Stegostoma tigrinum: one gene and its partners. The main gene of each other region encodes a partner of the protein of the gene in region 2 in a complex. Links are inferred from orthologs where the notes say so. Each region holds a gene or a part of one and is shown on either strand. Other genes may lie near its edges. The genes, in order: e2f2, transcription factor Dp-2-like, e2f6 and lin52.

Region 1 (7,240 bases), on a different chromosome or scaffold from region 2:
ATATAAAAGGTTTTGTCACAAATGCAGTTGGCAACATTTTTTAGTGGATCATTAAACTTGTTATTATCCGTCTATGTTTCCAGAGGCTTGGTAAAAAGATAAAAAAATTATGTTACCAGGACAACACTGCTCCCACTAGGGAGGATTTGCGTTTGTTCAAAAAATTGTCAAAGTACTTTAATTAGTCACTTTGTTATGTAGTTATTAATCTTATGCAGCCACTTTTGCAGACAGCAAGATTCCAAACAATAACGAAATGAACGATGCTTTAGTTTTTTTTAATGTAGAACTTTACCATGTAGATGCAGACCATGCAACCAACCTATGCCAATGTTTAGACTCCACATGAGATTCTACCTCATCCATTATCCATGTGTTGTTATACAGCTTTCTCCCTTATCTAGTTCCACTTTAATGCATCAGGGCAGTTTGTCACAATTACTTCACCTGGTACTCCATATTCTCTCAGAGTAAAGTAGTTACTCCCGAATTCCAGAGGGCAGGTAGCAGTCAACCACATTGCTGTGGGTCTGGAGTCACATAGAGTCCAGACTAGGTAAGGATGGCAGTTTCCTTCCCTAAAGGAAGGACATTAGAGAGCCTGATGGGTTTTTTTTTTCCTGGCAATCAACAATGTTTCATGGTTATCATTAGACTCTTAATTCTAGATTTTTGTTGAATTCAAATTCCGCCATCAACAATGGCGAGATTCAAGTCTAGCTCCCCAAAATATTGCTTCGGTCTCTGAATTAACAGTCTAGCATTAATACCACCTCCCCATATAGGATGCATACATTTATAATTATCCCACCAAACCCTACTTCTAATTTTAAAGACTTCTATCAGGTCAATCTTCAGCTGTCTGCTTACTCTGGTAAAATAAGCCCAACTTTTTCTTGTAATTATGTGAACAGAGTTCTTAAGTCAGCCTTGGAAATAATTTTTCCGCATTCTCTGGTGACTTCAGAGCCTTTTCATAATACCGGTACACACTCCCAAATTTAGCAACCTTGGGACTCAATCTGTGCCAGTCTTTGGAACATGGCAGTCTTCAGAGAGATGATAAACTGGAATTCACTAGTTCAGATTGGAACACTTTAATATGGTAAGTACAGCCTGAAGGGAAACCAACTGATATGACTGCCAAGCACTAAGTTAATATCATGTGCCTGGTGATATTAATTCACCTCTCATGCATCGGATTTAATATCTCTTTCATGCTTTCCCGCTTCGCTATGTCAGTACAACTGGTTAAATTGAGAAAAAAAATCAATTTTAAAAAAAGCCTGCACTTCAGAAAATGCTGGTTTTGGGGTAGCTAGATTTGGAGTGTTTACCTATAAAGGTCAGAACTATGCACAGTACTCCAACAGAGGTCTAATCTAAGTTGTACACAAGTTTAAAATAACACAATATCTTTCCAATCAATTCTATCCCTCTAGAAATTAATCTCAGTGCTCTGGCCTCATTAACCTGCATTGTTATTTTTAGTGATGTGTGCATCTATATCCCTAGAGCTCCTTGCTCCTCTCATTTTGACTCTAATTTTACCCGTTTATTAATGTTCACTACCTCACACTTACCTATACTTAAACAAATCAGTTCTCTTCTGACCTGCTTCATTCACCCTGTATTCCCACCACAGGCAGATGGATGAACTAAGCGCATGGTTTTGGAAATGGCTGTAATCTCAGGAAACTCCACCTCACAACAATTTCTTCACCAAGCCATGTGCAGATTCTGTTCTGCCAGTATGATGTGTGACATACTGATGGAGGAAGTATTTCTCTGCTCCCTAGTTACTTAAAAAAGTTCAGCGTTTTTTTTAATGATTCTGGGCAAAGTGATTCACTTCCTTTGGTACTCATCTCTTCATTAGAGACAAATGAATTGCACTTAGACTGCACTTACCGAGTGGAGTGAAACTGGAAAAAATTTGTGGCTGGGGACGGGTAGCAGGTGTCGAGAAATAGATATTTTTACAACCATTTCTGCAATGTTTGAGTGACAGTGACCTCTGAGACCTCACGCTGTAATGGATGGGCAAAAGTAAGTTTCCTCATGCTTCCAAACAGTTAAAACATGATTGTTAACATTACTCTGATTATTATGAAGTTAGTTTTGAGGTCCAGTTTCCTTTCCATTTTCCCTGCTTTCTCTCTCTCTCACACTTAGTTTGCCACTCTCTCTGTCTCTCCTGTTCTCTCGAGTCCTTTTGTTCATCTGTTTCTACTCACTTATTCCTCTCCTCTTTGTTCATGGTTTCCTCCCAATGTGAAAAGGTGTTTTCTTTCTTCAGTTTCCAACACCAAGGCACAATTGCAGTTTGTTCCTACATCAACAGCCTTCTATTGCTTGAACTCTTCCTGAATCCGACAAAGACTTGGGTTGGGGTTCCCCCTGGGACACCGCTGATCTCGGCTGCAATGGCTTTGGGAAAGTTACAATTGGCCACAATTCCTCTGGGTTAAGGCAAAGGTAAATCAGCCAGCTCCCTGTCGCTGCTCATTATCCAAACACCATGTCATTGAAAGTGCTTTTGTGTGTTGACACTGCATGCTGAAAGGGTGCAAGATTAGCAATAGCAGTTTGCATTTTTTTGAAAAAAATGACCTTGCATTCATATAGCGCCTTTCCCAACCTCAGGACACCATGCAATATCTAATGGCCAAATTTTCGATAAAATAGAATCACATCAGTTTGAGGAGGTAGCTCGCCACTACCTTTTTCAGGGCAATTAACAATGGACAATGAATGTTGGCCTAGCCAGCGGTGCCCACATCACAGGGTCGAATAAAGAAGAATGCAGTAGCCAACCTGTGCATAACAAGATCCCACAATGTGGTCAAAACCAGATATTCTACATTATAATGATGTTTGTTGAGGATGGAGTACTGATCAGGACCCTGGGATGATCTCCCCTGTTCCTCCTTAAGACAATGATGAACAGTCCTTGACAGGAAAGAGGCTGAATCAATTGAACATTGCATTCAAAAGGAAGCACCTTGAACAGTGCAGGACTCCTACAGTTCCCCAGTGGGAATAATGGTCTGGATTACACACTCAAGTCTCCAGATGAGTTTTTAACTCTCAGTCTTGTGTGGTTAGATAACTCACTGCTGTGTCACTTAAACAGCAAACTGCATTTTGGGAGTGGATCATAGAATCCGACAATCACACAGCACAGAAACGGCTTTCGGTCCAACTTGCCATGCTGAACACATATCCTAAATTAAGCCAGTCCCAAATGCTAGCATTGTGCTCATATCCCTCTAAACCTTTCCTATTCACATACCCATCCAGATGCCTTTCAAATGTTGGAATTGTACCAGCCTCCATCACTTCCTCTCACAGCACATTCCTCCCACAGTCATTCATGCATCACCCTCTGCACGAACAAGTTGCCCCTTGGGTCCATTTTAAATCTTTCCCTCTCACCTTAAACCTATGTCCTCTCATTTCGGGCTCCCCTACCCTGGGGAAAAAAGGTCCTTGGCCAGTCACCCTATCCATGCCCCTCATTATTTTATAAACCTCCATAAGGTCATTCCCTCAGCCTCCGCCCCTTCAGGGAAAATAGCCCTGCCTATTCAACCTCTCCCTATAACTGAAACCTTCCAAGCCTCGCAACATCCTTATAACTCTTATCTTCACCCTTTCAAGTTTAACAACATCTTTCTTATAGCAGGGAGACCAGAATTTGAATGTAGTATTCCAAAAGTGCCCCAACAATACCCTTTACAACTGCAACATGACTTCCCAACTCCTATACTCAATGCTCTGATCCAATAAAGACAGGTGTAACAACGGTCTTCTGCACGACCAGGCAGAGAAAGAGAACATCATGCCAAATAATGTAGGTGGCAATGCAGCTTAATAAAGGCAATGTAATGCAAGGAAAAGAAATATAAATTGTTTTCATGAAACCATCATTAATTGTGTCTTTACACAGACTCACTCTCTCACGGCTGCGAAGTATTAAAACAGTCAGGATGCTGTGCAAGCCTCAGCTGGAGTCAGGCTTTTTAAAAAGTCTGTGCTACTCCTGTCGCTTTAAGAAACCAGTTTGAGCGCTGTGATTGGCTACCGTTGCATGTATCCTGGTCAGTTAACCACCAATCAGCGACGGGTATTTGCAACAGATGGCGGGAAATATGAATTTCGCGGCACAGGCTTTGGCGCCAGAGGCTGAGTTTCAGAGTCTGTGAATTAGGCTGCATTCAGGAGCTAGTACAGTTTCTGCAGCCATTTTTCCCCTCTGAATCAGAGGGGACCTTTTACAATCCATTGCATCCTGCTGCATCCAAAGCAACGTTAGCTGTGAGACCCCGTGCAGTTTAATCTCGGGACTCTGCTAATCATTTATATGCCTGCATTTGTTGACTCTGTCTTTTATTTTGTGTTCAAATCCCGGTTTGAAGTTAACCATTTTGTTTTGCCCCTCTCTCTCTCTCTCGTTGCAAACAAAAGGGGGAGAGTGGGGGAAAGATTGCAGCCTTGCCAAAAATGCCAAAGGGAGTTTCCCCAGCCCCAGGCAGGGGAATTATTGGGGCAGTGACTGGTTCCCAGAAAAAGCTAATCAATGTGGAAAATGGGAATACCGGGCTATGTAGCCCCCAGATCCCCACCATCCCTGCCAGTTATTTCACCCAAATTGCAGGAGCAGTATATTCTGATCACAGTGATTGCCTGTATGCAACCCCTCAAGGACCTGAAGTTAGAACAATAAGGACTAGCACAGGGCGCCTGCCGGTAAGTGTAATTTTATAATTTATACATTCATTTTGAAATAATCGCGCGTTTATACTTGGTGTATTTTGCTCAGTTCCTGCAGTTATCAGGACACTGCATTAATAATCATTCAGGGAAATTTACTTAGCTCTTAGTAACATGTTTTACAAAAATGCAGCATTGATAAATTAACCCTACTTTTGTGTATGCGTTTGTGGGATGGGGGTGGGGGTGGGGGGCATGTGGAGTGTGAAGACAGGTTTCGCTTTTTGCTGTGTAACTGGATCTATTGTGATAGAGAAAATGCTCAGATGGCTGTTTACTGTAACTCTAGGCTGCCTTAATTTTTTCATTTATTTCAGGACGATTTAAAAGTTTCTCAAGCCTCCCGATTTATCATCAAAACACGTTGACAATTTTCTTAGGTGATCAAACTGTCACTGAAATTTTGCTGGGCTTGCCTTGGGTTGGCTCTAAAGTTGAGGACATTCTCAATATAATATCTTTTCAATCAAGAGGTGTCAACTTTTTGGAGGGTGCTTCCTTGTATGAAATTCAAATGAAAATGAAAGTAACCAGCCTTTGGCACTTTATTGGCACCAAGCCTTTAACCTCAATATTTTTACTGGAGGGTGGGGAAGGATGTTTAATGCCAATTCTATAGTGTAGGCAGCTTGGGGTTCAAAGGTAAAAATGGAACTGACAGTAGAATCCCCAGCAGAAAAATGTAAAAAATGAAAATGTAATGATTTCAAACTGCAGGGAAATGTTGCTGCTGAACTTTCTTTTTGACCCTCTTCTTTGTGGGAATAGGGCTGTTTCAATTTTTAAATATTGATCTTCTGTGGCTTAATACTTAGATCTAATCTTGTCTCTGTATAGCACCCACCCCTCCCCTCTTGAATTTATTCAAAAGCCCCACTCGGCATCTTTTGAGAATGAGGCAATATTAACGCAAGACAATGCTCACCTGTGGCACCTTGTTTATTACTGACCTCATCGAAGTTTCTTCTCATGGACCAGGGAGCTTGTAAAGCACAGATGATGTTACAGTACCCAAAAACACAGTTTTTAAATACTTACTTTGGTCGTGGCCTACTTTTTTGTGGGGGATGGGGAAGGAGTTTCTTATTGACTGAACTGTTTTTCCGAGGACGGACTCTAGTAGCAGAAGTTTAGTTTTCCAGTATGCAGGGGAATTAATTTACAAGGTGTATTTGTCATCTCTTGCATGCTGTATAAACATTGCTCTTTTGATTCATTGCTCTTGCTCCTTTTGGGCTGGAGTTCTTGTTCAGCTGCTCGCTCCATTGCCTCTGACAGAGAGAGCAGGGAATGCCATTTAGTCCTCTGATTCTTATCTTTGCCCCAAATATTTATTTATACACCAAAGATATCAACAATTGGGAGTCTTTGAGGACACGCTGGAGCTTTCAGAAAGCTAGGCAGGGGTATTTAATTGGAGGCAAAAATTCAGTTTCTTGATAGGTTAAGGTTTTGCAATCAATTTCTGAGGAACTTTCAGATGGGTAAGGTTTCCTAATCCTCATTGAGCACCATTTCTGTACTCATTAGCATGTCATGTTTGTTGTTAACCCACTGGAATTGCATTAATAGGCCCAATCCCATTATCCAAAATGGCAAGATCATGTACTTGCAGATATTCTTGTGTATTCACAGAAAAGCACACAAGCCAGTGCCAGCCAGCGTAGACTGTGCCCTCCGTACTCTGGACAGTATGTATAAACTTCACCAACTTGATTCCCTTTTAATCAAGCTGTTACTTTGCTCAAATGTTTAACGGGTGAAGCCTGACCTGCTCATTCAACTCACTATAAGTCTGCCATATGCAATCTGCCACCTTTTTGTAGTTAAACACTTGAGAAGGGTGAAGCATCTCCATGTTCAGTGGCTCAAGAGAAGTCTTGGCCTTGTGCAGTCTGTTAAGTGTTAACAAGTCAATGTTAGGGTTGAACACTGGACCATCCATCAAGCCTGCCCACACATGGCAGCCAGATTGCCTGATGCCAGCAAACCTGATTGGGGCGGTCAAATGAAGCTTGACTCCCTGGGGCCAGCTTTTGTGCTTGTACCCTTGTTCCATACAAGCCATTGCTGAAAACAATCAGATGTGCATGTTATCAAGTTGTGATGGAAGGTCAGTGAGCTGATGGTGTGTGAGCTGCTGAGTGTTGTAACTCCTTCACTATTTTGCATATGAACCCTCCCAGTTGTGTGGGAGCCAGTAGTACTACGGTATGCAATGCTGCCTTGGTAGCTGGCATTAAGTGACAGACATTGATGGCCCGTGAGGCATCCAGTGGAGTTGCTTGGTTGCCAACCCTCGTATTGCTATCCTCTGTAGAGGCAACCTTACGGTGCTAACTCTCACTCAGAGGGATGTCAAGTGGTACGTACTGAGGTAGAAGGCAGAAGTTATTTAGTCTTCTGGCACTGGAGCTGGGTTCTCTTGAGCTGCCCATAGGCACTGTCTTCATAGCTACCTCCT
Region 2 (7,468 bases):
AGGTGTGGCTTGAGGTGGGAGGAGAGGATAGGTGAGAGGAAGCACAGGTTAGGGAGGCAGGGACGAGCTGGGCTGGTTTTGTGATGCAGCGGGGGGAGGGGACGAATTGGGCTGGTTTTGGGATGCAGTGGGGAGGGGGAGATTTTGAAGCTTGTGAAGTCCACATTGATACCATTGGGCTGCAGGGTTCCAAAGCACTTCACCAACCCCTTCCACCCCGACCTCAAGTTCACCTGGGCCATCTCCAACACATCCCTCACCTTCCTGGACCTCTCAGTCTCCATCTCAGGTAACCAGCTAGAAACTAATGTTCACTTCAATCCCACTGACTCCCACAGCTACCTAGAATACACCTCCTCCCACCCACCCACCCTCCTGCAAAAATTCCATCCCCTATTCCCAATTCCTCCGCCTCCGCCGCATCTGCTCCCAGGATGAGGCATTCCACTCCCAAACATCCCAGATGTCCGCGTTCTTCAAGGACCGTAACTTCCCACCGGCAGTGGTCGAGAACGCCCTTCATCGTGTCTCCTGCATTTCCCGCAACACATCCCTCACACCACGCCCCCGCCACAACTGGCCCCAAAGGATCCCCCTCGTTCTCACATACCACCCCACCAACCTCCGGATACAACGTATCATCGTCCAACACTTCCACCGTTTACAATCCGACCCCACCACCCAAGACATTTTTCCATCCCCACCCTTGTCTGCCTTCCGGAGAGACCACTCTCTCCGTGACTCCCTTGTTCGCTCCACACTCCCCTCCAACCCCACCACACACGGCACCTTCCCCTGCAACCGCAGGAAGTGCTACACTTCCCCCACACCTCCTCCCTCACCCCCATCCCAGGCCCCAAGATGACTTTCCATATTAAGCAGATGTTCACCTGCACATCTGTCAATGTAGTATATTGTATCCACTGTACCCGGTGTGGCTTTCTCTACATTGGGGAAACCAAGCGGAGGCTTGGGGATTGATTTGCAGAACACCTCCGCTCAGTTCGCAATAAACAACTGCACCTCCCAGTCGCGAACCATTTTACCTCCCCCTCCCATTCCTTAGACGACATGTCCATCCTGGGCCTCCTGCAGTACCACAATGATGCCACCCGAAGGTTGCAGTAACAGCAACTCATATTCCGCTTGGGAACCCTGCAGCCCAATGGTATCAATGTGGGTTTCACAAGCTTCAAAATCTCCCCTCCCCCCACTGCATCCCAAAACCGTCCCCGCCTCCTTAACCCGTTCTTCCTCTCACCCATCCCTTCCTCCCACCCCAAGCTGCACCTCCATTTCCTACCTACTAACCTCATCCCACCTCCTTGACCTGTCCGTCTTCCCTGGACTGACCTATCCCCTCCCTACCTCCCCACCTATAATCTCCTCTTCACCTATCTTCTTTTCTCTCCATCTTCGGTCCGCCTCCCCCTCTCTCCCTATTTATTCCGGAACCCTCACCCCATCCCCCTCTCTGATGAAGGGTCTATGCCCGAAACGTCAGCTTTTGTGCTCCTGAGATGCTGCTGGGCCTGCTGTGTTCATCCAGCTCCACACTTTGTTATCTCTTATAAGATAGCTATTTACCTGTTTTCACTGAAGCCAAAGCAGAAAACAAACAGAGGGCCGGGCCAAATGGTCTATGTTCTGGGTTATAGTTTAAGGCAGTTACCAGGGGCACGTTTCAATTCTGTTGTTCAATGTGCTTCTTTTTTCCCCATTAATTGCTCAAACAATTCTATGCCAGGATTTTGTTGCTGTACCAATGCTCATAATTAGTTATCATTAGTTTTCTGAAAAATATTCTTCCCTTTTGGCCAACAGTGCTCCATCATTTTCTGTCCTAAGTGTCGTCCTCTCTCTTTTCTCTGTCCTACTTGTCGTGACACATTATAAATTCAAATTCCATGGCAGACTGTGGAATTTGAATTCAATAAATATCTGGAATTAATAATCTAATGATGACCGTGAATCCGTTGTCAGTTGTTGGAAATACCCATCTGATTCACTAATGTCCTTCAGTGAAGGAAACTGCCATCCTTACCTGGTCTGACCTACATGTGACTCCAGACGCACAGCAATGTGGTTGACTCTGAACTGCCCTCTGGGCAATTAGGGATGGGCAATAAATGCTGCCTGGCCAGTGATGCCCTCATCTCGTGAATGAGTAAAGGAAAAAAAACTCAGTCGTAATCATTACAAATACCTTAGTTATATCACAGCTATGTCCGTGCCATTGTCCAAGTGTTACTGGGCACAACTTGTACATCATCAGGTCCATTTCTGGATGATCTCCCTGAGCAGTTCCAAATCCCTGTGACTTTTCTTAGAATCCTGTGACTGTTGCCACTTAGCTGGTGGATCTTCAATAGCAGAATCCTGCAGATGTTGGAGATTGGAAATTAAAACAAAATAATGGAGCGTTTCCAAGATAACGAAGTGTGGAGCTGGATGAACACAGCAGGCCAAGCAGCATCTTAGGATCTCGGATTCTCCGGCATCTGCAGTTCCCATTATCAATGGAGAATTTCCAAATTGCTTTGAGAAGTGAGAGTTAACGCTTTTAGTCCAAGGGCACGCTTTCTGATTTTATGCCTGTGGTTCTTGAAGCTGATTCTGTGCCACCCTGACCCCAAAAATTCCTGGCTCAGCTTTAATCTCCACCTCATCTTTACTGCTTGGAGGTGTACAATGTCCCCATACGGGTGGCAGATGCCCCTGCCCCAAGGCTAAGCCCCTCCGAGGGTGGGAGCAGTGTGGAATCTGTCTTGTGGGTAGGGTTACCCCTGTGGTGGTGGGGGGGGGGGGTTCAGGCTGTTCTTGTGTTCACTTGGCCCTTCCCCATCCGACAGCAGTGACCCTGACCCAAACCCGTCCCTCCTGTTGTCCACCCCCTTCTCCGCCACGACCCTGAGCCCTACGCCCATCTCCGGCCACCCTCTCCTAGCCCTTACCTTTCCCACCTTCTGCTCCCCACTCCCGTAGCCCTATCCCGTTCCCCCACCCCTCCCCCCAACTACGCCTCACCCCCTGCCCCCACTCCACTCCCGCACTCCACACTACACTGACCCACCCCCACTCGCCCTCCCCCTACTCCACTCCATCCCCACTCCACGCCACAAGTCCACTCCGCCCCCTCACCTGCACTTGCCCCCTACTCCGCACCACCCTTACTCCGCACCCCCTCCCCTCCCAAGTACTCCACTCCCCCCAACTCTGCACACACCCTCCACCTCTCCGCATCCCCACCTCTTACTCTGTTCCCCACCACTTCACACTACTCCGACCCACCCGCTACTCTGCCCCTCCACTCCCCGACCCATATCCCGCCCCCCTACTACCCCTCCCTCCCACCAAACTCTTCTGCAACTCCTCCACTATCCCCTTCCCCCATACTCCGCCCCTCTCCCCCACTCTGTCCCGCTACACCTCCCCCGCCACTCCGCACCCCTCCACTCCTACCCCTCCCCCAACTCCATTCCTCACTCTGCCCCCATCCCCATCCCACCCACTTTGCACCCACCATCCCCCACTCTGCCTCCCCAACCCCCCAACTCTACTCCCTCTCCTGCCTTCGCTCTGCACCCCCTCCCCACTCTGCCCCTCACCCGCCTTCTCCACCCCCTTCCCCCTCTATTCTGCCCCCCCACTCCACTCCCCCATCCCCTCTATTCTGTACCCCCACTCCACCCCTGTCCCCTCTATTCTACCCCCCCACTCCACCCCCGTCCCCTCTATTCTGTCCTCCCCCACTCCACCCCCGTCCCCTCTATTCTGCCCCCCCACTCCACCCCCCCATCCCCTCTATTCTGTCCCCCTACTCGACCCCCCATCCCCTCTATTCTGCCCCCCCACTCCACCCCCCATCCCCTCTATTCTGCCCCCACACTCCACCCCCATCCCCTCTATTCTGCCCCCCCACTCCACCCCCCATCCCCTCTATTCTGTCCCCACACTCCACCCCCCCATCCCCTCTATTCTGCCCCCCCACTCCACCCCCCATCCCCTCTATTCTGTCCCCACACTCCACCCCCCCATCCCCTCTATTCTGCCCCCACACTCCACCCCCCCATCCCCTCTATTCTGCCCCCCCCACCCTACTCTGCCCCCCCCACCCTACTCTGCCCCCCCCACCCTACTCTGCCCCCCCCACCCTACTCTGCCCCCCCACCCTACTCTCCCCCCCCCACCCTACTCTCCCCCCCCCCACCCTACTCTCCCCCCCCCACCCTACTCTCCCCCCCCACCCTACTCTCCCCCACCCCCAATCCCCCCATTCCTCCCCTCCTCCGTCCCCCATTCCACTCCTCCCCCACCTCCACCCCTCCTCCTCCTCCCTCCCCCACCCCTCTCCAATCCGCCCGCCGGGTGTTATTTGGTGCTGATTATTTGTCCGTTCTCTCTCTCCCCCCCCCCCCCCCCCCGAATTAGACCATGAGGCCGCTGTCAGGAAGATAACTTTCTCCGCTGTTCGAGGCGGGACTTCGATGTGTTCATCTGTTTGGTTCAGCCCACCCACCGGAGCAAGGAAGGCCGTGAGTGCGTGAGACAGGAGTGGGAGAGTGTGTGCTGTGAGTGAGACAGGAGTGGGAGAGTGTGAGCTGTGAGTGAGTGTGAGCTGTGAGTGAGACAGGAGTGGGAGGCTGTGAGTGAGTGAGTGTGAGCTGTGAGTGAGACAGGAGTGGGAGAGTGTGAGCTGTGAGTGAGACAGGAGTGGGAGAGTGTGAGCTCTGAGTGAGTGTGAGCTCTGAGTGAGACAGGAGTGGGAGGCTGTGAGTGAGTGAGTGTGAGCTGTGAGTGAGACAGGAGTCTGAACTGTGAGTGTGAGACAGGAGTGAGAGAGTGTGTGCAGTGAGTGAGAGAGGAATGAGTTAGTGTGAGCTGTGAGTGTGAGACAGGAGTGTGTGAGTGAGAGGAGTGAGTGAGTGTGAGTTGTGAGTGTGAGACAGAAGTCAGTGAGAGAGAGGAGTATGTGAGTGAGAGGAGTGAGTGTGAGCTGTGAGAGGGGAGTGAGCTGTGAGAGAGGACTGAGTGAGACAGGAGTGAGTGAGTGAGTGTGAGCTGTGAATGAGAGGAGTGAGTGGAAGAGGAGTGTGGGGGGTGAGTGAGTGTGAGCTGTGACTGCAGAGAGTGAGGTGTGAGTGTGGTGTTTGCTCAGAGTTTGAGGGAGAGAGCAGGCCCTCTGACAGACTGTGACAACTGGCTGCAGCTGCTTGCTTCTGGGACACTTTGTTGGAGCGGGCACCAAGGATGGTGAGTGGCGAAAGCACTTTAATTTTACGTTTTTTCCTCTTTAATTTTTATTAGAACAAAGCTGTGGCCACTCCGTCTCTGCAGGGCGCTGCCCTGGAATAAATAAAGAAGATTATCAATCCCTGTTTCATTTACCTGATTCCTGGGATGGCAGGACCCTTCGTCTACGGTGTGACATTGGATTCTGTTAGGAATATATTCACTGTGGTTTAGAGAAATGACAGGGGATCTTATAGAAACCTGTAAAATTCTGACAAGACTAGACAGGGTGAATTCAGGAAGGATGTTCCCCACAAGCAGGGAGCCCAGACTCAGAGATCACAGTCTAAGGATCTGGGGTTAGAATAGTTACGATCAAGGTGAGGAGAAATTTCTTCATCCAGAGAGTGGTGAGCCTGTGGAATTCTCTGCCTCAGAAGGTGGTTCGGGCCAAAATGTTGAATGTTTTTAAAAAGGAGTTAGATATAGAGCTTGTGGTGAAAGGGAGCAAAGGGACTGAGTTGGAGGGCCAGCCATTATCATATTGAACAGCAGAGTGGATTCAGAGGACTGAATGGCCTGCGCCTGATCCTATTTTCTGTACTTCTGTCTTTTGCTACATTGCCTCCTGGTACATTATTTGAGCTGCATCTTGCTGCTACTCTCCACGTTCAATGCACATTCAGTCGTTTGAGGCATCAGTACTGCATTTGCAAAGCCTCACTCTCATGCTACTTTTCATGGTTCAGTCACCAAACCTGCAGTTCAACTTTTTTTTAAAATTAGGAAATCCTTTTCACTGCATAAACAAAATGCTTCAGATGTTAGAACTGTGAAATGGAAACAAAATGAGGAAATGCTCTAGCGGCATCTGTGCAGAGAGAGAAGCTTGTCGACATTTTTCATCAGAATTTTTTTTGCAGTTTGGCTGATAGTAGAGCAAGATTGTCTTGACATTAGTAACAACAATAATTGTGGCAATGATATTTCAAACTTTCCCTTTGGTATTTCAGGACAAGAGCAATAGCTGAATGAAGTCGGCAAAATTAGGCCAGGCACTTTTACTTTTTTCCTACAACAAAGTTGCTGAAACCCTAACCCTCCTGTCCTCTTTCTACCTGTAGAGGATATTAGATTAGATTAGATTAGATTCCCTACATTGTGGAAACAGGCCCTTCGGCCCAACAAGTCCACATCGCCCCTTGGAGCATCCCACCCAGACCCATCCCCCTATAACCCACACACCCCTGAACACTACGGGCAATTTAGCATGGTAGGGGAAGAATGGTAGACGGTGATCCAAAGGGTAGACTTAGGCACGAGAGAGTCTTCTGAAAGGTTGAGAAAGGTGCATTGAGGTGAAAGACTTCAGTAGCGGGTTCCTGAATACAGTGCATAGATGGCTGAAGGCCCTGTCTTTGACTGTGGTACATGCAGTGGAGGCTAGAATTAAAATCAGAGTCTGTGCTGATAGGAACTTTCCCAAAACAAGTGGACGATGTTGCTAGTTTATTTAACAATTGAGGAAAATGATTTTAAATGCAATGCATGGGGATGAGGAGAAAATGTAGCATGTAAAGGCAGGAGTGATTGGTATTGGAAACTAGTCCCATTACTCCATGGATCACAGCATAACATACAAGCCAGTTTTCCTGTTACTAAGATGACTGAATATTTCAGGTCTATTAAGTTTTCAAACAGAAGATCTATCAACAAGGCTTTTTAATAAATAGTTATTGATTTGTCATTAAAAAGTATTTAATAAAGATGCAATAATTTGCTGACATAATCAGTGATAAATAAATACATATGTTTGTCCCTCTATATACCTCAGAACTCTCACTGACCCTCTCTCGCACGCATGCACTCCATCTCTCCAACAACACCAGCCCCCCAACCCTGCCTCTGTTCAGGGGGAAAAGAGAAAACAAAACACAGAGATTAACTTTCTAAAACAAAAGGCTAGATGTTTATTATTGGAGGTGTAAGGATAAAGCTCACAATGACCCAGAGGGGTCATGTCTTTTTGTGGCTAGTTGATGTTCATGTATCCTGGTGGCTAGCTTTCTGCCTGTTTGTCCAATTTAGTGTTTGTCACAGTTCTTGCAAGGTATTTTGTAGATGACGTTCACTACATTGGACAAACAGGCAGAAAGCTAGCCACCAGGATACATGAACATCAACTAGCCACAAAAAGACATGACCCACTATCACTAGTATCCTTACATACAGATGA
Region 3 (7,246 bases), on a different chromosome or scaffold from region 2:
TATCCTGTTTAATACATTCCTGTTGTTTGCTGAAATCTGTCTCTTTACTTTTGTTGTCATACGATTATTACATTATTAACCTGATTACATAGTCATTATATGACTATTTCGATGCAGTTGCACTGCAATTCAACCTTCGAGCTGCAAACATGTTTTGTGAATATTTCATTTTGTTATTATAAGCAGCTGAAAGCTTGTCTAATGACAGAGCAACTAAATTTGAGAGGACAGAACTAGAGGAGTACAGACATCTTTGGATGGCTGGGCAGTGTAGGTGGTCACAGAGGTAACAAGGAACCAGGCTGTGGAGGGACTGGACTGGAAAATAAGAATTATTTTAAAGTAAAAAGGCAATACTTTAGTAATCTGTATTGCAGACATACAAATTAAGAATTCTAATGGATGGCCCAAATTACATTTTTGTGGACTTCAGCAGCAGTGGGTACAGGACAGAAAATGAAACTTGCATCTCACCAGCCTAGCCTGAATTCAAATCTGGATTCAGAGCATGCAAAAATATTTACAATACAATTTCACTGATAACTATGGGATTCCACTTGAAAGCTGCATTCACGTCAAAGTAAAAATAAATTCAATTTTCATCGAAAATTATTTTGAGAATCACATATCATGCTCTTGAGCCCACCTTTATAATGAACACAAAATCATGTAGAGATATGCCTGAATGAATACCAGTGAATTTTATAAAATAAATCAATTTACAGGAAGTGTAAAAATGACTTACATCCATTCAATTAAATTTTTTGATTTTTTTCTCACAAGACGAATCCCATCAAGTACATTGGTGATATCGTAAACCCTTCGCTTTCGCACCCCAAGCATCTTTGCAATATCATTCATGTCAAGGACGCCATCAGGTGCCTCCTTCACAAGTTCCATAAACTGTTGCGTTAGATGCACTAGGGACACATCAAAACGTGGCTTTTTTGCTGTTACAAAACAGGAAAACAACATTAACTTTCAATCTTAAAAACAGAAATGCTGGTATTATTGAAATAAAATTTGATAAAAATGCAACTGAAATGTGTAATGGATGTATGACTAATAGAAAAATAGAGAATTGTATTGTCAATTCTCATAAAACCTACTCCAAAAATGCCATTTAGAAATCGCATGTTAATATTGTGGAACTAAGATGTTTGTTTTATACATGTTTATTTTAGTAATTTTACACTTTGGCAGACAGTATAACAATTTGCAATTTTCATTTATTTCCTAACCCTAAATTTTAGCAAAGCAAAATGTCCCAAAGAGTGTCAAATGTATGTAGTTAAAGCAAATTTGATGAGTCACTTAAGGAAATATTAGGGCAGTTAACTAGAAGCTTGGTCAGAGAAACAGGTTTTATGGAGCATTTTAAGAGGACAGAGGCACTAAGGTTGAAAGGTTATGCCACAAAATTACAGGTTTACGTAGTCAAAAGTAATGTGACTGAAACCAGAAATGCACAAGCTATTAGAATCAGTGCAGTGAACGGATTTCAGAACTTTGTTCTGCGAGTAAGTACCAGGAACTATATGCTAAAATAAAACATTGTTGTGAAGGCAATAATCTAACCTAACACATGAACCACATGCAAAATTAGCCTAATAGATTAGAAACAAATGAGCAGATTGAGTTGGTGAACAGGTAATTAAAGGGTGTGGGAATCTATCACTTCACAGCGGCTTCCTGGGGCCATATATGTACTTGTGATGACAGCTTTAAGTCCTTTCGTATTTTGGTCTTCTAAAATAAAACAATCTGCATTGACACGGTAGAATGTATTCCATTTTCATGGGACACCTGCACTGGTACTGGGTCAGGAAATGAATGTGTGGTTTGGACAGGAATCAACATAAAAACCATCGCTTGGACTAAACAATGAAAGTGTAAATGATCATTTCAACAGTTTGTTACAACTTAACATTTAGGACATCCTTTCTCATCTACTGCCAAAAGTATATTGTATTGTGCTAAATGTGTTTCTGATAGGCCATTAAACAGTGCTGGAAATGACATATAAAGTTAGCAGCAGGCATTGTAATTTGTTTAGTGTGCATTCTAGAAAATAATTTGCATGCATGCAAATGAAATAAATTCAGGCATAAAATTCCTGACAATTAAGTTAAGTGGAATACATTACATTTTGACAACCTAGCAAATTTTTAAAACATCGTAAAGACCTGAGTCGAATTAAAACTAAGCCTCAAGTAAATCACAATTACTAGAGGTAATTGTTCTTAGTATAACTTCGAAGTGTAGTCCCAAGTCCAGGCCCAATACATTGCAGAAGACAAACGTCCAAACAAAATGTGTTATTTATTCATACATTCCTTTAGCCCATACCCTGACTTCCGTTTAATTCCCTTTGTAATGAATTTCAATGGAACCTAGTCTGGCCCAGATTCGAATACACGGTGGAGTAAACATTGGTAAACAGTGTCCTGCACACGTGCACGTGGATCCGTCTTTCTTTAAAAAAAACACGATTTGGATTTATTTAGTTTGGCAAGGGTGGATACTTTTTCGCGTGGGGGTGGGAAGAAACAGAAAAGGTTGTCCGGATGATCTCTAATGAAGCTGATCGAGGCCCTAGGAAGAAGCAGTGCCATCTTGATGCTGTGGAAGGACTGGGAGTGTTACATGTAAACACAGAGGGGACAGGAGGGTGTGCGTGTGTGTCAGAGAGAGAGAGAGACGGGGGGAACTTGGAGATAGACAAAGACAGTTAAACAGACAGATGAGAGCCTGGTGCCAGGGCTCAGTCAGACTCACTGGATCTGGGCGCTGAGGTTACCCGGGAGCTGCTCTCGTCCTCCATTGCTGGGGGCTAGGGGGGTGGCGCTGATGTTTGTTACTGTCTCACCCCCTTCCCCCACCCCTGGTACTGCCAATCCTACACGGAACTGCTCTGAGACGAAACCGCCTCGCTTCCCACCCGTCGCCTCCCTGCTCCTCTCCTGCTATTCCCCCGCCACACACAACAACACGCTGCCACGCAGGCCCAAAAGGCATCCCGGCGCATGCGCCAACCCGCCCACCGGCGGCATTCCGACGCATGCGCCAGCCGATAGCTGCCAGCTTTGCTCGCCTTTCCCGCCCGACCTACAAAACCCGCCTCCTCTATGAATATGGATGAGTAGAACGCGGGCCCTTGGCCGTGGCACCGCCTCCACAGATGAATGACGTGCCTACATCACACACAAGGCTTTGTGACGTTGGGTTGAAGTATCTTTTGAGCAGCAGCAGTATTCGCCGGGCGCGGTGGCGTGCGCCTGTAATCCGGCGACTCGGAGGCTGAGGCTATCGGATTGCTTGAGACCAGGAGTTCTGGGCTGCTGCGGACTATGCCGATCAGGTGTCCTCACTAAGTTGGGCATCGATATGGTGTCCCTGGAGGAATCCGGGTTCACCAGGTCGGGTAAAGAGGGGTGAATCGGCCCAGGTCGGAAACGGAGCAGGTCAAAACCCCCGTGCCCATCAGTAGTCGGATCGCGCCTGTGAATAGACGTTGCAGTGCAGCCTGGTTAACACAGTGAAACATAGTCTTTTCTCAAAACTGCTTTTGGCATTTTTCATTCTCTTCTTAAAATTATCATTATTATTACACTTCAGCTGCTCTAAATGCTGGCTCTAATTTAATTAATAGGAATGCATAAAAGGACCCTTAGAAAAGTGCACATCAAAGTCTAGGATTTAAACTCTGCTCCCATCTATATTTTCATCAACTCTGATAATACATTGAAACATAGTCTTTTCTTAAAATTACTTTTGGCATTTTTCATTCTCTTATTAAAATTATCATTACTTCAACACTTCAACTGCACTAAATATAGAGCTTATATTCAATATGATGCATAATAGGACCATTAGAAAATACACACCAAAGTCTAGGACTTAAACTCCATTCCCACCTGTATTTTCATTAGCTCTGATTTTTATTGCTCTAATTCACACTTTGTTGAATTGACAATTCCGAATGATCATAATAATTTTGTAACACGTGTAAAAGGATGGGTATTTCTGAATAAAATAACACATTTTTAGCCTGTTTAAACCTGTTTAAATGTTTCGACGTTACTGCTCTCTGCTGTTCTCTCGTTTTATTACAGCAGAAAAAGTTGCTCTTGGAGCTGTTATACTGGCAGTGATCTTCAGGGAGCGCTAACTTTACATTGCAGTCAGCTCAGAGGGGGCCAATCTGCAACTAATTAAGCATTTTAAATTTAGAGATCCGAATTGCATATTTAAAATCTCGTCTCCTTAAATAATAAATAATAAATTGTTAGAAAACAAAAAAAAAGAAATCAATAAAAACAAAAATGACTTGAAATCAAGCTGAATTAATCTTTTCTACAATCGAAGTCAAGCAATTCTATCTAGAACTAAATTATTACTAGCAAGTAAATAAAAGCTTGACATGGCCACGTGTCAGGACTGATATGTGGGAATTTGTGGGCAGTGGGATTCCTCTGTCACATCTGTATTGAGAGACTCCAGCAGAAATTCTGACAAGAGAGGAAGGGAGGTTCTGGCTAGTTTTCCATAGAGTGTAGCCACGTCTCAGAAAAGTGCCAGCCAGTAGAGTAAGGTGAACCTAGTTTAGATAGAAGAAGAGGAAGTCTTGCACAACAGATAAAATGTAAGATAATAAAGTGTGAAGCTGGACGAACACAGCAGGCCAAGCAGCATCTCAGGACCACAAAAGCTGACGTTTCGGGCCTAGACCTCTCCCCCCACTGCATCCCAAAACCAGCCCAGCCTGTCTCTGCCTCCCTAACCTGTTCTTCCTCTCACCCATCCCTTCCTCCCACCCCACGCCGCACCTCCATTTCCTACCTACTAACCTCATCCCACTTCCTTGACCTGTCCGTCTTCCCTGGACTCACCTATCCCCTCCCTACCTCCCCACCTATACTCTCCACTCCACCTATCTTCTTTTCTCTCCATCTTCGGTCCGCCTCCCCCTCTCTCCCTATTTATTCCAGATCCCTCTCCCCATCCCCCTCTCTGATGAAGGGTCGAGGCCCAAAACGTCAGCTTTTGTGCTCCTGAGAAGCTGCTTGGCCTGCTGTGTTCATCCAGCTTCACACTTTATTATCTTGGATTCTCCAGCATCTGCAGTTCCCATTATCTCAGAGAAAATGTAGTTGACACTGTGAGGCTAAAGTGAACATTGCTGGCAGGAATGTCCTAAACTAGGCACTGTAGAAGAGGATGCCATCCCAAGAGCAGAGGGTCAGAATAGAAATGAAGCAGTAATAAGGTATGCAATAATTAAGGGGTGGAGTGTATTCACTGTTAGGACTTAGATGATGAGGGATTTGTTACATGTATTGAAGAAAATTTTCTTTATTGATGTGTATGTACCTACTAGAGAAGGAGCAAAACATGACCTTCTGTTGGGAAATAAGGCAGAGCAAGTGACTGAAGTGTTACTAGGGGAGTACTTTGGGACCAGTGATCACAGTTTTAATTGTTTTCAAATAGTTATGGAAAAGGATTGGCCTTTTATAAAAATTAAAGTTATTAATTGGAATAAAGCAAATTTTGATGGTATGAGACAGGAATTTTCAAGAATTGATTCGAGTAGACTGTTCACAGGTAAAGGGATGACTGACAAATGGGAGGCTTTCAAAAGTGAGATAACAAGAATTCAGAGGCATTATTGTTTCAGAGATAGTAGGAACTGCAGATGCTGGGAGAATCTGAGATAATAAGAGAAGGGTCTATGGCCGAAACGTCAGCCTTCCTGCTCCTCTGATACTGCTTGGCTTGCTGTGTTCATCCATCTCTACACCTTGTTATTTCAGGGGCATTATGTTCCTTTCAGAGTGAAGAGTTAGGATGGTAAGAGTATGGAACCATGGATGATTAAAGATATTTGGCTCAAGTCATGTTTAGGAAGGCGTCATATATTAGATATAGACAATTGAGATCAAGTGAATCTCTAGAACAGTGTAAGGGTTGTAGGGGCATTCTTAAGAGGAAAATTAGGAGGGCATTAAGGGAATATGAGATAGCCTTGACAGATAAGGCTGAAGATAGTCCAAAGAGATTCTGCAAATAAATTCACAGCAAAAGAACAACAAGGGAGAGAAAAGGGCCCCTTTAAGATCAACAAGGTTGTCTATGCATGGAACCACAGGAGATGGAAGAGATACGAAACAAGTATTTATCATCAGTTTTTACTGTGGACAAGGAATTAGAGACCAGGAAACTCAGGAAAATAAATATTGATGTTTTGGATTTCAGCACAAGCAAGGGCAAGGGCTTCCATCTTAAACCAACTGAAAATAATGGATCTGAATATTGCTAAAGTGATGATTAACTAGGAACAGTGGAGGTCCAAAGAGACCTATATACACACATCAATAAATTAGGGTCAGCAAGGACAAAAAAATTCAAATGTTATATTTTAAAGCTAGAGCTGTAGGATATAAAAGAGCAAAAGTTGAACTGTATCTCTGCAAAGCCTTGGTTGGACCACATCTGGAGTACCATGTACAATTCTTAACGTCATACCTCGGAAAGAATTTAGCTTCAGAAAGACGTTTAAAATGAAGACTTTACAAAGAGTTAATAATGGGGAAACTTTTTCTAATGACTGAAGGCTTAACAATTAGAGGACACAGAATTGTGCAGATTCAGCAGTGTCTTGTCAGGGCTCCAAGGGTTAAATTATGAAGGATGCTTAGATAGACTAGACTTGTATTCCCAAGAATATATTAGGTCAAGGCAGTGAGTGCATTCATATTTTAATGATTTTGGAATGAATGAAGGACATAGACACAGAGAATCATTCCCCTTGGTGGGTAAGGACATAATCCCAAAATTGGAGCTGGGTATTCGCAAGAGAAATTAGAAAGCATTTCTACCTGGTAGGGTGTTAGAAATGTGGTATTTGATCCTTTATTAATAGTTAAATTGGAGATAATGGGTTTTTACCAGACAACAGTATAAAATGATATGGAGTCAAGTCAGGTGAACGGAATTCTGAAACTGATCCAAGTTGTTGAATGACCTACTAGTCTTTCTGTTTGGCAACAACAAACCAGGCTCTATTAGATTCAGAGATAATGGGAACTGCAGATGCTGGGGAACCCGAGATAACAAAGTGTGGAGCTGGATGAACACAGCAGGCCAAGCAGCATCTTAGGAGCACAAAAGCTGACATTTCGGGCCTAGACCCTTCGCCAGAGAGGGGGATGGGGAGAGGGAACTGGAATAAATAGGGAGAGAG
Region 4 (7,635 bases), on a different chromosome or scaffold from region 2:
GAGCACAAAAGCTGACATTTCGGGCCTAGACCCTTCATCAGAGAGGGGGATGGGGTGAGGGTTCTGGAATAAATAGGGAGAGAGGGGGAGGCGGACCGAAGATGGAGAGAAAAGAAGATAGGTGGAGAGGAGAGTATATGTGGGGAGGTAGGGAGGGGATAGGTCAGTCCAGGGAAGACGGACAGGTCAAGGAGGTGGGATAAGGTTAGTAGGTAAGAGTTGGAGGTGCAGCTTGGGAAGGGATGGGTGAGAGGAAGAACAGCTTAGGGAGGCAGAGACAGGTTGGACTGGTTTTGGGATGCAGTGGGTGGAGGGGAAGAGCTGGGCTGGTTTTGGGATACGGTGGGGGAAGAGGGGATTTTGAAGCTGGTGAAGTCAACATTGATACCATTAGGCTGCAGGGTTCCCAGGCGGAATATGAGTTGCTGTTCCTGCAACCTTCGGGTGGCATCATTGTGTCACTGCAGGAGGCCCATGATGGACATGTCATCTAAAGAATGGGAGGGGGAGTGGAAATCTTTTGCGACTGGGAGGTGCAGTTGTTTATTGCGAACTGAGCAGAGGTGTTCTGCAAAGCGTCCCCAAACCTCCGCTTGGTTTCCCCAACGTAGAGGTAACCACACTGGGTACAGTGGATGCAGTATACCACATTGGCAGATGTGCAGGTGAACCTCTGCTTAATGTGGAAAGTCATCTTGGGGCCTGGGATAGGGGTGAGGGAGGTGGTGTGGGGGCAAGTGTAGCATTTCCTGCGGTTGCAGGGGAAGGTGCCGGGTGTGGTGGGGTTGGAGGGCAGTGTGGAGCGAACGAGGGAGTCACGGAGAGAGTGGTCTCTCTGGAAAGCAGAGAGGGGTGGGGATGGAAAAACGTCTTGGGTGGTGGGGTCGGATTGTAGATGGCGGAAGTGTCGGAGGAACCGCAGGAAATGCTACACTTGCCCCCACAACTCCTCCCTCACCCCTATCCCAGGCCCCAAGATGACCTTCCGCATTAAGCAGAGGTTCACCTGCACATCTGCCAATGTGGTATACTGCATCCACTGTACCCGGTGTGGCTTCCTCTACATTGGGGAAACCAAGCGGAGGCTTGGGGACCGCTTTGCAGAACACCTCCGCTCAGTTCGCAATAAACAACTGCACCTCCCAGTCGCAAACCATTTCCACTCCCCCTCCCATTCTTTAGATGACATGTCCATCCTGGACCTCCTGCAGTGCCACAATGACGCCACCCGAAGGTTGCAGGAACAGCAACTCATATTCCGCTTGGGAACCCTGCAGCCCAATGGTATCAATGTGGACTTCACCAGCTTCAAAATCCCCCCTTCCCCCACTGCATCCCAAAACCAGCCCAGTTCGTCCCCTCCCCCCACTGCACCACACAACCAGTCCAGCTCTTCCCCTCCACCCACTGCATCCCAAAACCAGTCCAACCTGTCTCTGCCTCCCTAAGCTGTTCTTCCTCTCACCCATCCCTTCCTCCCACCCCAAGCCGCAGCTCCATCTCCTACCTACTAACCTCATCCCACCTCCTTGACCTGTCCGTCTTCCCTGGACTGACCTATCCCCTCCCTACCTCCCCACCTATACTCTCCTCTCCATCTTCGGTCCACCTCCCCCCCCTCTCCCTATTTATTCCAGAGCCCTCACCCCATCCCCCTCTCTGATGAAGGGTCTAGGCCCGAAATGTCAGCTTTTGTGCTCCTGAGATGCTGCTGGGCCTGCTGTGTTCATTCAGCCTCACATTTCATTATCTTGGATTCTCCAGCATCTGCAGTTCCCATTATCACCAATAAGGAACAGCAGCAGGCCATTTAGTCCCTCAAGCCTGCTCATATAAAAAATGCACACACAACGCATGCAGGCACACACACGTTTGTCTATCAAGGATCAATCTGCATCAGCCTTCAAACGTTCATCAAACGCTGACCCTTCCAGCAATTTTACATCCCATGAAAGGGGAAAGAGAAAAGGAATAGTTACTCATAAATCCAACTGGTTCAGGAAAATGTCTTTGCCCATAACATGTGGAATTGATGATGTGAAGAGCTTTGATACATTTAAAGGGAGGCTAATAACTGGATGAGGGAGAAAGGAATAGAAAGATTTGGAACAGAATTAAATCAAGGAGGCAGACAGGAATACAGACCACATGAGATGAGCAGACATTTCCATGCTGCGTAATTGTTTGAAAGCAACAGCAAAATGCTTTAGCAACTAAATATATTTTCAGTGTTCAGATCTTTGACCTAACTTAAAAGGTATTGTAAGGGTGATTGAGATAACATCATTTAAAGCAAGCATAGGACAAATCAGGCACAAGTCTGAAAGTCAAGCAAGGTTAAAGACTACAAAAGCTGGACAATAAAGATTTGGAGGCAAGCCCTGAAGTGGAGAACTGATAATGAAGTCAATTGACACCGCTGTCAAGAAGGCAGATCAATGAAATACGATTACAGAAACATCAGTGCCATTTCAGCTCCAAGTCATCTGTACAGGAATTTGTTGGGTAGTGTCCTAGCCACATTCTTTGGCCCTCCACTGACAGTTTGCATCATTTAGAGGATTCACTGCAGAAATTCACCCCAAGACTCCTTTGACAGCACCTTCCAAAGCCAATAACCCAACCACATGTAAGGACATGAGCAAAAGACTATGGAAATTCCAACATTTCTAAGTTCCCAAGTCACCAACAAGGCAGCTCACTACCACATTTGAGGGCAACTACGGATGGTCAATAAATGTTGGCCCAACCAATGACACTCACATCCAGTGAAAGCCTATCAGACATTTTGACAGAGGACAAATAAAGAGTGCGATAATACAGTTGGAAATTGAAACTGAAGGTTTCCACAACTGATGAGAAAAAACACAAGATGCCAATGTGGAAAGGTGTAAATGACTGGTCCTTAAAATGATTACTATTACATACAATTAACAAAACCTGACAAATTAAAAAAAAATCCATCCCATCTCAAAAAAAACTTTGATTAAGCCTTCTCACTTACAATATTTGAAGATGTGTGATTCCTGAACTATCCCACAGAGAATGTAATAAGTGAGAAAAAAAACAAAACAATGCTGTAGGGCAGAAAACTAAGGACAACCCTTTCCAGCACGTTTGAACCAATAACAAGGGAGCTCTGGAAACCACCCACTAAAGCTGACCCACAGGCTTCTAAATGCTGAGTAAAGATATCAACTAGCATTGAAGAGAGAAAAAAGGCTGATTGAGTATAGATTTCAGCATCTGCAGTAATTTACTCCTACTATATGAAAAGGCATTGTCTGCTTTTCTCTCAGACAACCCTAATGCAAACCACGAGAGAAGAAAGTCATTCAAGTGTACTGGTGGGCACTGATCAACTGAATTAGGAAACTAGTTAGCTTTGACATCTTACAATCCTCAGACGAGTTACATCAGTAAACAAAAAAACTTCAGTACGCAATGTTACAATCAATGTTCTATGAAAGAAAAATGTAAAGGTCCGAAAGTCAGGGCATTGAAGAGGAGATGGCCGGAACTGCAGATGCTGGAAAATCTGAGATAACAAGTTGTAAAGCTGGATTAACACAGCAGGTCAAACAGCACAGGAGCAGGAAAGCTGACGTTTCGGGTCTAGACCCTTCAGAAAAGATTTGTGTGTTCATCCAGCTCTACACCCTGTTATCTCATTGAAGAGGAATCCCCGGACTCTGAACGTTAACTCTCCTTTCTTCTCACAGATGCTGCCAGACCCACTGAGTTTCTCCAAAAATTCTGCTTTTTAAGTCAGATCATTAACGCTTTATATCGGGGAGGCAACGAATGAATGCAGCCTTACTGCGTTTAATATTCTGAAGTTTAACGAAGTCAACAGCACAATAACAAAGTCGTCACGAGAAAGTGAGGCATGTACGGTTGCCAAGTGTCTACAACGCGTTTAAAAGCTCAATCCACGTAAATAATTTCATCCCTTGCAAGAAGGCAAAGGAGGGAATACATGGGTGGCATCGAACAGATGCAAAAAAATGCAGAAAACGACAATACAGCGTGAAATAAAACGACAACTGCAAAATATATAAATAGAACAAGTTGGCTTTTCACCACGTGGAAAGGACGAGGAGACGATAAGGGACTGGGAATACAAACTGCTGGACACTAACGTGCGCCCGTTAGCGAAATGAAGACAAGGCGCATAAGATTTTCGGGACTTCTTCGCCTCTCGGGTTAAAATAAAAACGGTCGCGAGAAGCGATCTCGACGGGTATGGAATTAAGACATTCTGCACAGCAACACACAAGCTCTGTTTTGTTGCGCGTCTTCCACCGCCCCCACACGAATCACACCGTGATTCCTGTCGGTTTACCTTTCGCCTGAAAGTGACCCTGAGGGCTGCTGCCATTACGAAGCCGAAAACGGACCCAAACACACCTCTCCCGCTCCGTTGCCCTCACCTATCGCCTGCCCAATAACCACTCACTTCGGAGGGCGGAGACCGCGACTGAAACCGTAAGACCCCACGCAGTCCGCAACCCTAACGTCAATTGGCGCGACGCCAGACCACGTGACACGCCAAACCCTCCCGATCCCCATCGGCCAATGCGGACGTCAGTCAGATAACGCGCCCCGCCCTCCCACCCAATAATCACGCGAGATTCCCGACGGTTAACGGTCGCGGCGCTAAATTTTTGCCCGCAGTTCGTTTTAATTAAGTCTACACCCCCTAAATGGCGCTTTTGAAATCGGAAACGACTATTCTGTTCGAAAGGATATAATTCGCTAGTGTTTGTTCTGTCCTGGGGACGGGCTGCAAGTGGGTCATGTGACGGTTCGGGAAGATGGCGTCGCCGAGTGGGTCATGTGACGGTCTGGGGAAGATGGCGTCGCCGAGTGCGGGTAAATTCTAATTTGCTTGTGTGACAGAGAGAGTGCTTCTAGGCACGGGGCACTCGACTTTGCTATTTGGCTGCTTCATCCTCTCAGAACCGGGACAATTCGAACAGAAAAGAAAAATTATGGTCTTTTATTTACGCTGTAATGGTTTTTCTTCGGCAGTATCTGTGGGAAGAAAGCAGAGTTAACGTTTCAAGTCAGGGAGAGTTTTCTTCCCACAGACCTGCGCTGTTTCTCCAGCGTTTCCTTAATTTTCTTTCTGATCTCCAGCGTGCGCAGCTGTTTGTTTTCTTTTAATTATTCTCTTTCCTCCTTTTAAGATTTTGGCGGGTGGCCACCGCAATCCTGCTTACCCTGAGTTGCATCTACCGGCCGAGATGTTTAGGTGAGAGATTGGAAAGTTGGAATAGCTCCATAGGGGCTAGTATCCTGTCACTCAGTCACCCTTTAAATTATTTAGGTGAGGAAAGTCCTTGACACTAACTCAGAGCCAGCTCTCTGAACAGGATGTCAAACACTTCTGTTTTATCTGTCAACCAGGGATCCCTCTTTGGAACAGATTAACATCCCTAGTCAGGGAATTCATATTCTTTGAGGTCCAACTGGCTGACTTTGTTACAATCATTACATCTCTCTCCCTCTGAGTCTGAGAATATAGGCTGGTGTGTTTCTTTTATTGTAGCTCACCAGCTCAGATTTCTCCAATTCTGCCTTGAATATGGGTGGTATGTAATGCACGGTTGCACGCCACTTGTGCCCAGTTTGACTTGGAAGAAATTCATTCTCTTGAGGTGACTGTGGTGTCAATGTGATCACATCTGCTGCATCCATCTCAGATTCTACAATATCTTCAACGCTTGATGGAGAGGGTGAACCCTTATGTTCTGGAACAATCGGAAAGGCAGTCAAGGAACTGGACATGTTTTGCTCCTGCACTGTTTGCAAGTTTGCAGCTTTAATTTGGTCCATGTGCTTGTTGAGGCCCATCATACCTACCTGAACTGTATACGCCACTGGACCTGAACACTGGTAGACTGTGCCTTTTAGGACCATTCCTTTATCGACTAAAGTAAATTGTCTTTCTCACTTAGTACGGTCTTGAGTCCGGCATTGGCATTTTTGATGCTGTTTCACCCTCTTTCCCCTAGATCTGTGAAGATAAGATTTAAACAGAGTCGTCTTCCCATATGCAACTCTGCTGGAACTATCCCTGTGATTACATGATGGGTGGACCTATAATCAAATAGGAATTGGGATAGTTTGGTATCGAGTGATGCTGTGGTTGTTTCTTTCAGTCTGCCTTCAAAATTTGCACAGCTGTTTATGGCACGTCATTTGATGGATGGTATGGAGCTGTCCTTGTATGAAAAATACCAGTTGACTTTTGGGAAATATCCAAGTTGCCTACTGGAAAATGATGGCTTGTTATCTGTGACCAATACTTCCAGCAGTCTGTGTCTTTCTACCATCATCCGCATGTTTGACAAATGAACTTTGTGGTCATGCAGCCACTTTGAGTGGGTGTCCACAACAGCTAAGAATGTCAAACCCATGAAAGAACCTGCATAGTTGACGTGTAACTAATTCCAGGGTTTACCAGGGCCTTCCCACGAATGTGGGGGTGCTATTAATGGTAATTTTCATCTTTGTTGGCACACTCTGCACTTGCCCACCAATGCAGCCACGTCTGCATGCAATCTTGGCCAAAAGATGCTACTTTCCAATAAAAACCAAAAGAATTACAGATGCTAGAAATCAGAAACAAAAACAGAAATTGCTTTAAAAGCTCAGCATGTTTGAAGAGATATCAAAGTTAATGTTTCAGGTCCAGTGACACTTCTTCAGAACAATGTTACTTCTTGCTAACATCTTCTCTTTGGAATACCCAGTGGAGTTCAGCTGGTGTCTGGCGGTGGCCTTTGCTTTGGACAATCACACTTACTCCCCAAATAATATGTTGTCAGCTACTGTGATCTGGTCTCCCTCGGTCCAAAAATGTTTCAGATTTGGTTGTGATGGCCCTTTGGCTTCCCCCATCACTATCAGCTGTTTCAGTTTTGTCGGGACTGGATATTTGAGTCAAAGTCTAATATTGTCAACTGTGAATGCAAGTGTGTCCAGAAAATTTGAAAACATGTGGACTCTTCTGATGGTACCAGTGTGGTGTATCTGCCAGTGGAGGCAGCTCAATGCACTGGCATTTGCTACTTGGCCTCCAGGAAAGTGTTCCAACTTGAAATTATATGCATTTAGTATTAGAGGTTGCTGCTGAATTTGGCTTGAAGTTATGGGTGGCACTGCCTTGTCCTGTTTAAGTAGACCAAGCAGAAGCTTGTCTGTTATGATTACAAATTTACCTACATAATCGTAGTTTCAAATCTTCCCATGTTCCATGACCAACCGACCCTCTCATCCCTGCCTCCTTGACCTAACAAACCTGTCCATCTTCTCTCTTACCTATCCACTTGTCCCAGCTCACTGACCATTCCCCTCCACTGCCAACCTGTACTCGCCTATCACCGTCCCACCCACCTTCCCCAGCCCCATCCTTCCCCTCTCTATTTATTTCAGAGCTCCCTTCCCCCTCCCCCATTTCTGAAGAAGGGCTCCGACCGGAAACGTCAACTTTCCTGCTTAAATGCTGCCTGGCCTGTTGTGTTCCTAGCTCCTCACTGTGTTATTTCTATGATATCCAACTGGTTAAACTTATTACAATTAGTACAGGACTGGGTAAAACTAGATTTAAATTTAGGTTTAATTCAT

The links.
Region 1: transcription factor Dp-2-like (region 2) and e2f2 share a complex: the UniProt entries of both Homo sapiens proteins name them as parts of the DRTF1/E2F transcription factor complex. The link is inferred for Stegostoma tigrinum from reciprocal best matches to the Homo sapiens genes TFDP2 and E2F2.
Region 3: transcription factor Dp-2-like (region 2) and e2f6 share a complex: the UniProt entries of both Homo sapiens proteins name them as parts of the DRTF1/E2F transcription factor complex. The link is inferred for Stegostoma tigrinum from reciprocal best matches to the Homo sapiens genes TFDP2 and E2F6.
Region 4: transcription factor Dp-2-like (region 2) and lin52 share a complex: the UniProt entries of both Homo sapiens proteins name them as parts of the DREAM complex. The link is inferred for Stegostoma tigrinum from reciprocal best matches to the Homo sapiens genes TFDP2 and LIN52.

Annotation. Positions count from the first base shown.
Region 1 is NC_081377.1:29,050,817-29,058,056, reverse strand, and holds the start of e2f2 (transcription factor E2F2), read left to right. Parts: upstream 1-4,218; 5' UTR 4,219-4,506; coding exon 4,507-4,752; intron 4,753-7,240. UniProt on the Homo sapiens protein: Transcription activator that binds DNA cooperatively with DP proteins through the E2 recognition site, 5'-TTTC[CG]CGC-3' found in the promoter region of a number of genes whose products are involved in cell cycle regulation or in DNA replication.
Region 2 is NC_081367.1:73,714,595-73,722,062, forward strand, and holds the start of transcription factor Dp-2-like, read left to right. Parts: upstream 1-4,451; 5' UTR 4,452-5,253; intron 5,254-7,468. UniProt on the Homo sapiens protein: Can stimulate E2F-dependent transcription.
Region 3 is NC_081357.1:114,882,844-114,890,089, reverse strand, and holds the start of e2f6 (transcription factor E2F6), read right to left. Parts: upstream 3,014-7,246; 5' UTR 2,825-3,013; coding exon 2,779-2,824; intron 951-2,778; coding exon 746-950; intron 1-745. UniProt on the Homo sapiens protein: Inhibitor of E2F-dependent transcription. Binds DNA cooperatively with DP proteins through the E2 recognition site, 5'-TTTC[CG]CGC-3'. Has a preference for the 5'-TTTCCCGC-3' E2F recognition site.
Region 4 is NC_081363.1:14,613,523-14,621,157, forward strand, and holds the start of lin52 (protein lin-52 homolog), read left to right. Parts: upstream 1-4,623; 5' UTR 4,624-4,817; coding exon 4,818-4,875; intron 4,876-7,635. Other genes in the region: aldh6a1 (methylmalonate-semialdehyde dehydrogenase [acylating], mitochondrial), read right to left, coding at 4,346-4,381.